2 linked regions of the Rattus norvegicus genome follow. The main gene of each other region encodes a partner of the protein of the gene in region 2 in a complex. Links are inferred from orthologs where the notes say so. Each region holds a gene or a part of one and is shown on either strand. Other genes may lie near its edges.

The links.
Region 1: the proteins of Lpl (region 2) and Gpihbp1 are in contact, whole or in part, in a crystal structure (PDB 6OAU), measured with the Homo sapiens proteins. The link is inferred for Rattus norvegicus from reciprocal best matches to the Homo sapiens genes LPL and GPIHBP1. Residues at the interface, in NP_000228.1 of Homo sapiens: Tyr367, Gly368, Thr369, Ala371, Glu372, Glu374, Leu403, Met404, Lys406, Lys430, Lys440, Ile443, Cys445, Ser446, Arg447, Glu448, Val463, Lys464, Cys465, His466, Asp467, Ser469; in NP_835466.2 of Homo sapiens: Cys68, Lys69, Ser70, Leu92, Ala94, His95, Gly96, Asn97, Thr98, Glu99, Ser100, Leu103, Thr104, Thr105, Ser107, Trp109, Cys110, Thr111, Asp112, Ile117, Lys119, Val121, Glu122, Thr124, Val126, Met128.

Annotation. Positions count from the first base shown.
Region 1 is NC_086025.1:109,165,103-109,169,016, reverse strand, and holds the start of Gpihbp1 (glycosylphosphatidylinositol-anchored high density lipoprotein-binding protein 1 precursor), read right to left. Parts: upstream 2,617-3,914; 5' UTR 2,579-2,616; coding exon 2,527-2,578; intron 2,237-2,526; coding exon 2,093-2,236; intron 1,529-2,092; coding exon 1,409-1,528; intron 1,295-1,408; coding exon 900-1,294; coding exon of another isoform or gene 854-899; 3' UTR 1-853.
Region 2 is NC_086034.1:25,610,390-25,614,203, forward strand, and holds part of Lpl (lipoprotein lipase precursor), read right to left. Parts: intron 3,539-3,814; coding exon 3,378-3,538; intron 1-3,377. UniProt on the Homo sapiens protein: Key enzyme in triglyceride metabolism.

The sequences.
Region 1 (3,914 bases), on a different chromosome or scaffold from region 2:
GCATGGTCTTTTTCCTACCCCAGAGATCTGCTCTGGCACCAGCTGCTGGTGGAGGTCTAGCTTGATGCAGTCACGGAAGCCAAGAGCTCAGCCAAAGGAGCTGTACTCAGTCAAAGATGGGCCCTCCTGCCAAGAAGCCAGGTTCCCTGATGACTCAAGGAGATGCTACCTCCTAGGGGCCTCTCCTCACCAGAGAAGGTACCCATGCCCCCAGGCAGGGATGGGAGTCCCATCTATTTCTCTGCCTAAGGAGTTCTTGGGGCTCTGTGACATTTCCCAGATGTGTGGTCCATCTTGTGCTCCCAGCATCCTCTTGGAGGCCTACGCTAGAAGAGAGGTTCTAGAACCCAGAAGAGGATGGATTTCTGTGCCAGGCCACAGCTGAAGAATCCCCTACTGAGCAGCCAGGCCTTCCTTACCCTCTCTGCCTCCCTCCCTCCCTTAGCTGCAGCCATTGTATTTCAGCCCTGCAACACTCTTGGTTTCCTTCCAACACCTCCTCCCTTCAGGTCTCTGGAGGCTCACCCTGCACCCCACACGTAAGGGCTGATTTTCTCTAGATGGTGGCTCTAGCGGGGAGAATTTCGTGCTGGCAAATTCAAGATGAGAATGAGCCTTTGAGGCTTGTTATTTTTTCTGCGTAGCTGAGCAGATGGGGCCCCTGTAGGCTGAACGTCCCCACAGCACAGGCAACAGACAGCCAGATCTGAGGCTGACATGTTACCCACCCACGGGCTGAGAAGAGAAGAAGGCAAGGAGGCCTGAGGGTGAAACTGAGGGCAGGGAATGGCCGAAGGAGTAGCAACTGGCTAGATGGCAAAAGACATTCAAGTTTATTCTCTGAAGCTGGTTGTCAGGGAGGAAAGGCTGAAGGGTCCTGGTTGGGGGAGGACGGGTCTTTAGGCCCCTGATGCCCACAGACTGGTGAGGAAGGTGAGCAGGAGAACTACGTTACCAAATTTGCTCCAGCCTGCAGGGAATCCGGCCCCATTTCCCTGGGGCTGGTTAGCCTTGCCACCCTTAGACAAGTGAGCCCCATCGCTCTGAGGATGAGTAACCTTGACAACCTGGGGGTGGCTAAACCTGTCACCTTGAGGATGTCTGGTCCCACCCTTCAAGGGGCTGTCTGCCCGGCCACCCAGAGGGTTGTGGATTTGGGGGCTCTGCCAGGGTGGAATATTGCAGAGTGTGGACTGGCAACAGGTCTGGGTCATTTGGGTGCTGTCCACTGTCTTCACGATGGGCTGGCAGGTATCAGTACACCACATGGAGTAGGTCGTCAGGACACCTGTGTCTGGGGGGTGTGGGAAACAGGTGGTAAGGGCGGAGCATGCGCTTTGGTGTGGGTTTTTTCTCTGTCCCCCCCCCCGGCCCCCCCGACCCTGGGTGTGCTTCCCCAGATGCTCACCAGTTTTGCCATGGGAGATGACTGTGATACAGAAGGGCTTGCTGCTGGAGCAGCTCTGTGTCTCGTTGCAGCTCTCCCCGCTGTGAAGCACTTGGCAGAAGTAGCACTGTAGAGGCGGTGCTGTGAGCAGTAGGGCAGCTCAGGTTGAGAGTGAGACTCCAGGGCCACGCCCAAGTTCCCCTGTCCCCACCGCCAGTTTTAGCCCTCCCAGAGGGGTCTGTGCCTGGAGCCATTAAGAGGAAGGACAAGGGCTGGAGAGATGGTTCAGTGGTTAAGAGCACTGACTGCTCTTCCAGAGGTCCTGAGTTCAATTCCCAGCAACCATATGGTGGCTCACAACCATCTGTAATGAGATCTGATGCCCTCTTCTGGTGTGTCTGAAGACAGCTACAGTGTACTTATATATAATAAATAAAAAAAACTTAAAAAAAAAAGAGGAAGGACAAAACATGGGGTTCAGGCAAGGTGAGGCCCAGGATTAAGGGACATAGGGGTTGGGGTGGGGCCAAGAGGAGCAGACCTGGATGTCAGTTGAGGGTGGAGAAGGTTACAGCCTGAGGGGAGAGCCTGTGTGAGCATGCTGGGCTCCTGGCTTGGAAGCTAGCAGCTTGCTTTGCTTTACCCTCAGGGATGGGAGGTAAGTGTGGGAGGAATCTGGGCCCTCGGCCGGCAGGGTTAGGATACCTCTGTCCCTGCTGCCAGGGATCATGTTGGTCTCCTCCTCTTCCTCTTCTTCATCATCGTCATCATCGTCATCACCGTCATCATCGTAGCTGTAGCGCTCTAGCTCCAGGTCCACATCGCCAGCTTCTTGTGCCCAGCTGCTCCCTGGTGGCACAAGGACATCGGTAAGCTTTAGCCACTTAGATGCAGAGGTCACACTCAGGGTTGAGCACAAGTCCTGACCCCTAACATGCCCTACGCTTTCCATTTTGTAGGAGACAGAATTCCCCCCACCCCCCACCCCTGCAGTGCCGAAGCAGTCAAGCCTGCGGCTGGCAGAGGAGAAAAGTCCCAGGCCTTCCATCTTACTCCGCATGCCTATTCCTTGTCCCTAGGACAAGGGCTTCCTGGAGGTACTCGTGGGTAAGGCCATCCCTTCCTGAGGTGTCCCGCACCTGGCTGTCCACTGAGTAGCAAGATCAGGAGGACAGCCCTGAGAGCTTTCATCCTGACTCAGGCTGTTCTGTCCACTGGTGCAGTCCTCACTCGGGGTTCTGAGTCTGTGGTAAGTGGGACATAGGACATTACTAGGGGCTTCCTGTGGCCCCCACCAGCTCTAATCTCAAACAATGGGCCTCACATTGGTCTCCAGCTACAGGCACCAGGCCAGGAACATCACTTCCCTCCAGAGCCTCCAAGGATAGAGAGGAAGGGGAAGTCATTATCTTGGCCTTGGGTGTCTTGTTCACCTGAGCCATTTCTGAGAGCGTGGGGACTACAAAAGATGAGTGCTGGTCTCAGGAGCCACCTGGTCTTGTCCTGGCTCCGTATCCCTCCAGGCCTCAGCATTGTCATGCTGGATGTGCGCCTGGTTCTAGGCTGCATCAGCATCTATCTCAAACCTCTAGGGACCCTGGCTGTACAACCATAAGGGCTCAGGACTCTATTTGAGGTTCACAGGCCAGGCACCTTCCACCCAAGTGGAGTCATTCTGCAAGGTATTTAGAAAAGAGCATGGTCTATCCAGCTGTGGATTCAAGAACCATTCTCTTCACCTCTTGTCTGTGATTTTGCTCAACCAGGCTCCCGCTGACCTGGCCTCCTCTTCCTTAGGTTGCTCCCTTCGTAACCCCCTTTCCCTTCAGTCTCTTTATGAGTTACCTCCCCAGAGGCCTCCCTACTGCTCACACTTTCCTGGATGTCTGCCTCCTGATATTGAAGCCTCTGACCTTTCCGGGGTACTCCTGCCCTTGATAAACCTACAGAATGTAGGTCTCCTCGTCCCTGGGCCTCTACACCTAGGTGGGTGTTGACTTAGAGGCAGAGAGCCTTCTGGGACTGACTTCTGTCTGGCAAACCCCAGTCACTGTCTCTGCCAGTGTATACTGTGTGAGCCCTTGGACTCCTTGGGTCTCTCCCAGGGTATAGCAGACCTTCAAGCTTTGGGGAACTTTGCAGATGGACAAGCTAGGTACTGAAGAGTCATGTTCCCTCGCCTGAAGTATGGAGAGAGTCCATGAACTATGGAGAGAAGCGCAGGACTCAGGACAGGAGTCAGAGTCACTGGCAAGTCCTGGGAAGTCTGCCTGTCTTGTGTGTGTGTGTGTGTGTGTGTGTGTGTGTGTGTGTGTGTGCGCGCGCGCGCGCGCGTGCGCGCATGCATAGCATAGGTGGTTCCTTTCTGGGCTGATGCCATGGCATAGGTGGTCCCTTTCTGGGCTGATGCCTGAGCCATGAGGATGCTGGGCCTCCTTGACTCTGCTTGAGCTGTCTTCCTTCCTAGCACTTGGGAACTTTCCCAGCCTCCTGCTGCCTTCCACTCCAATCCCTAAGTTCTCATAGA
Region 2 (3,814 bases):
GGCTCAACATTCAAAGCTGCATAATTAGAAGAAGGAAGATTATTTTTAAGAGATGCAAATGCAGTACTTATAAAGAAAGGTTTGCACTTGCAAACTATTTATTAAGGATGTTAAGGTCAGGTCACTTTGCAGCCGCAGTAAAGGCTACCAATTGTTTGTTGAACTTAGAACACTTTGGCAAATGTGCTTTTTATTAAGACCTACAAAAACCAACAGAGGAAAGGGACCCTTGGATACCCAAATCTACTGACTCCATCTGGAGTTTTACACTTAAATGATGAGTTCTTTTAGACTCCTGCTTTATTGTTTATGCCTTTATTAGACTAAAAAACCCAAACATGAACTTCACGTCACTCCCTACACTAGACAACTTTTCACCTAGTTTCTGTGCCCTGTGCTGGGGCAAGGCCAGTTCGAGAGATACGGATTGTGGTTATACCTCTCCTATTAATCAGTTCTGTAAACTAACGTCAGCCTTCCTGGGACACCTGTAACAGAAAGAACAGCTCGAAGCTCCCACATACATTCCCACTTGTGACCAGTCTGGTTCTGATCTCCTGCTGGGTCAGCTCTGCAACTATTTTCAGCATGGAGAGAAAGCAAAGAAGAAATAATATGCAGCTGATGTCAGTCCACCAAAAACCCAGGTAAGCCTCTTTGAACACGTCTCAGCCAGGATACTTCAAGTTGGGGTTGAGAGCATGTCTTTGAAGGAACGAACTGAACACATGCAGACTGTCCATTCTGGACAGCTGGTCCTATTCTCTTCCCTTCCTGACCACCACACTGACTCCCTTTTGCAGCTCCTATAGAAGATCAGAAGACGGTGTCATTTCTCCAGAACATAGTGTTAACTGCCCTGACTCCCACCCCCAGTGAAACCCAGCTAGTGCAAAGCTCCAGTGGGAGTGGGCAGCTCTCCTGACCTGACAGAAGAGTGTCCTGACTTCCCTGAGTCTATGCCCTTGGGTGACCTGGAAGCTTATCTCTGATAAGCTGTTTGTTCTAGGTTCTGCTGTACCTTTTTCTATATCAATGTTTCCAAGTTAGGCCGTCTGGCAAAGGGCAGGTGACCAACTTACCTACACTTTTGGGTACTTGAATTAACTCAGTAGCAACTCATCCAACCCTTTTTCTTATTCAACATGAAATAAAGTTGAAAGAAACAAGGAGTTGAGGAGGCCACACACTGTCCTCTACTCAAAAAAGGTCTTGTTTTCTAGCTTTCTCTACGTACAAGCTTGTATCAGACAAGCTTTCTGAACCAGAACCCACTCTGCTGCCTGTAGCAGGTGTTTTGACTGAACCCAGCCAGCGTTTGCTCAGATAAGCCAGGATCAGCTGGCTGTATTCGATTCCAGACAAGGCAAGTCGTGTGGTAAGGAAACACAGCTGGCCTGATCAGCAACCTCGCCTGAGGCTAGCACTCAAAACACCACCATCTGTGACCTGAAGAGCACAGGTGCATTTTGTGAGGCAGTAGGACCAGGAGCTGCATCTGGCACCATGCTAGACACTGCATTAGTCATGAGATCTTCACAAGAGAAGGAAAGTCTCCCAGCCCCTCTGCAACTTTCTAAAGCTCCAAATTCTTTCAGGGGTCGGACTGAGATGTGTGAGAGTTGAGACTTGCGGTTGCTTCCCATGCGTAAGTGAGCTTAAACTTCTTGGGAAGGGCCATACTATGTACATTGAAACTGTCTCCAAACACTTCAAATATAAAGATATATAACATAACTCACAGTTTTTGTTATGTTAGGAGTTAGACTTTCATCATATGCTGTATACCATACTAGGTTCAGTCTAGTAAATGATATCTTAAAAACAGAAGCATCTGTATGGATCCTGCTGTCAACATATCCGTAGAGATTATAAATGATTACAATAACAAAACCACTTCAGTGTGTGGGAAGAGATATCTGTATTGGGTGTATATTGTTTTTACCTAATTCTTCTCATTGGAATTTGATATATAGCTATAGCGTTCAAGAGTTGCCTCTGAATAGGAAGACGATGCATCTTTAACCATCTATTTTATATAAATTATTTTTAATGTATAATGCAACCTGCTCACTAGGAATTGAAAATCGTAAAAGTTAATTGAAATACTCGCAGAACAGGACCATGGAAAGCAACTCTTTGGCATACTTGGGAGGGGCTATTTGTGAATATTTTAAACAAGTAGCTTTAACCACAGCTTGTATTTCTGTTCCTCTCCTTTTTATGTGTGTGCGTGTCTCTGGGTGGGTCCATGTGGGACAGCCTGATGTATTGTTCCTCAGGAGCTGTCCACCTTGCTTTTGGAGATGGGACTCTTGATGAGAAATTGGCCAAGAAGCTAGGTTGACTTGTCCGTGAGCTCCACAGATCCATCTGCGCCTCCCTGGGATTATAAGGCTATGCCCCTGTGCCCTGCTTTTTAATTATTTATTTTTTAAGTGCTGGAATAGAACTCAGGTCCTGTGCCTTTCAAGACAAACACTTTATAGCCTGAGCTACCTTCCTAAGAACGTTCTTCAGCCTTCTTCCATGACAGTTCTCTGATAAGCTCCCTTAAGTTTGTAGCTGGGGCACATCGGAAGCAGGGGCGCCTTAGTGAAGTCTATATGAAGCCCCTTGTTTTACCCTACGTCAGTAGGCTGAGGCCTAGAGAGCACAAATGATCACATCACAGGGCTGGAGAACAGCCAAGAAGCACCTGAGCAGCTCTTTTGGCCTCCTCTTACTCTCACAGATGACTTTAGGAAAGAGCCTTTGGTGAACAAATGCAAGATTGCATGAATGCAAGAATGAATGCATGCATGAATGAATGAACGAACGAATGAATGAATGAACGAATGAATGAACGAACGAATGAATGCATGAATGAATGAACGAATGAATGAATGAATGAACGAATGAATGAATGAACGAATGAATGAATGAACGAATGAATGAACGAATGAACGAATGAATGAACAAATGAACGAATGAGTGAATGAATGAATGAACGAATGAATGAACGAATGAACGAATGAGTGAATGAATGAATGAACGAATGAACAAACAAATCTTTTCCTGGTTCTGGGGCAGCTCATCCTGTGTGTATCAGGATCATGCCAGGCTTCCACTGGCTTGCTGAAACAGTAACACATCCTTATCTAGTGTTGAGTGGAACATTCTTCTTCTACCTCCATGAATGATCCAAGGGTAGCAGACAAAGGTGGGCACCAGCTAGGGGAAGGACTATTGAATTTGGGACTATAGGGGCTACCATGAACCAAGATCGCCTCTATTCAAGTTTAGAAGGAAGCTGTCAGAGAGCAGACAAATACAGATGGTGGCTTTCCAACAGCTGGGGTCTCATTGATCACCCTTTGCTCCAGAACCACTCTTACCGTCCATCCATGGATCACCACAAAGGTTTTGCTGCTGTGGTTGAAGTGGCAGTTAGACACAGAGTCTGCTAATCCAGGAATCAGATGACAAGTGTCCTCAGCTGTGTCTTCAGGGGTCCTTAGGGCAAATTTACTTTCGATGTCTGAGAAATCTCTTCCCCCTACAGGAAAGGAAATGGAAGGGATTATTTGGTTTTACATTCACAAGCAGCCGATGGCAACAACACCCTTGACTTTTCTAAAGCAGGTTTTCAAAAAGGAACATGAGTCTGTGCTAGCATGAGGACAGAGCATGAAGGCCCAGAGCACCAGAACTCACATAAATGCCAGGTGGGTGTGGTGACCTGCCTGGAAAATGCAGCCTTCCGAGGCAGAGGTGCGGTCTTCTGAGCGAGCTCTGGGTTTGATTCTAAGACCCTGCCTCAGAGAATAAGGTG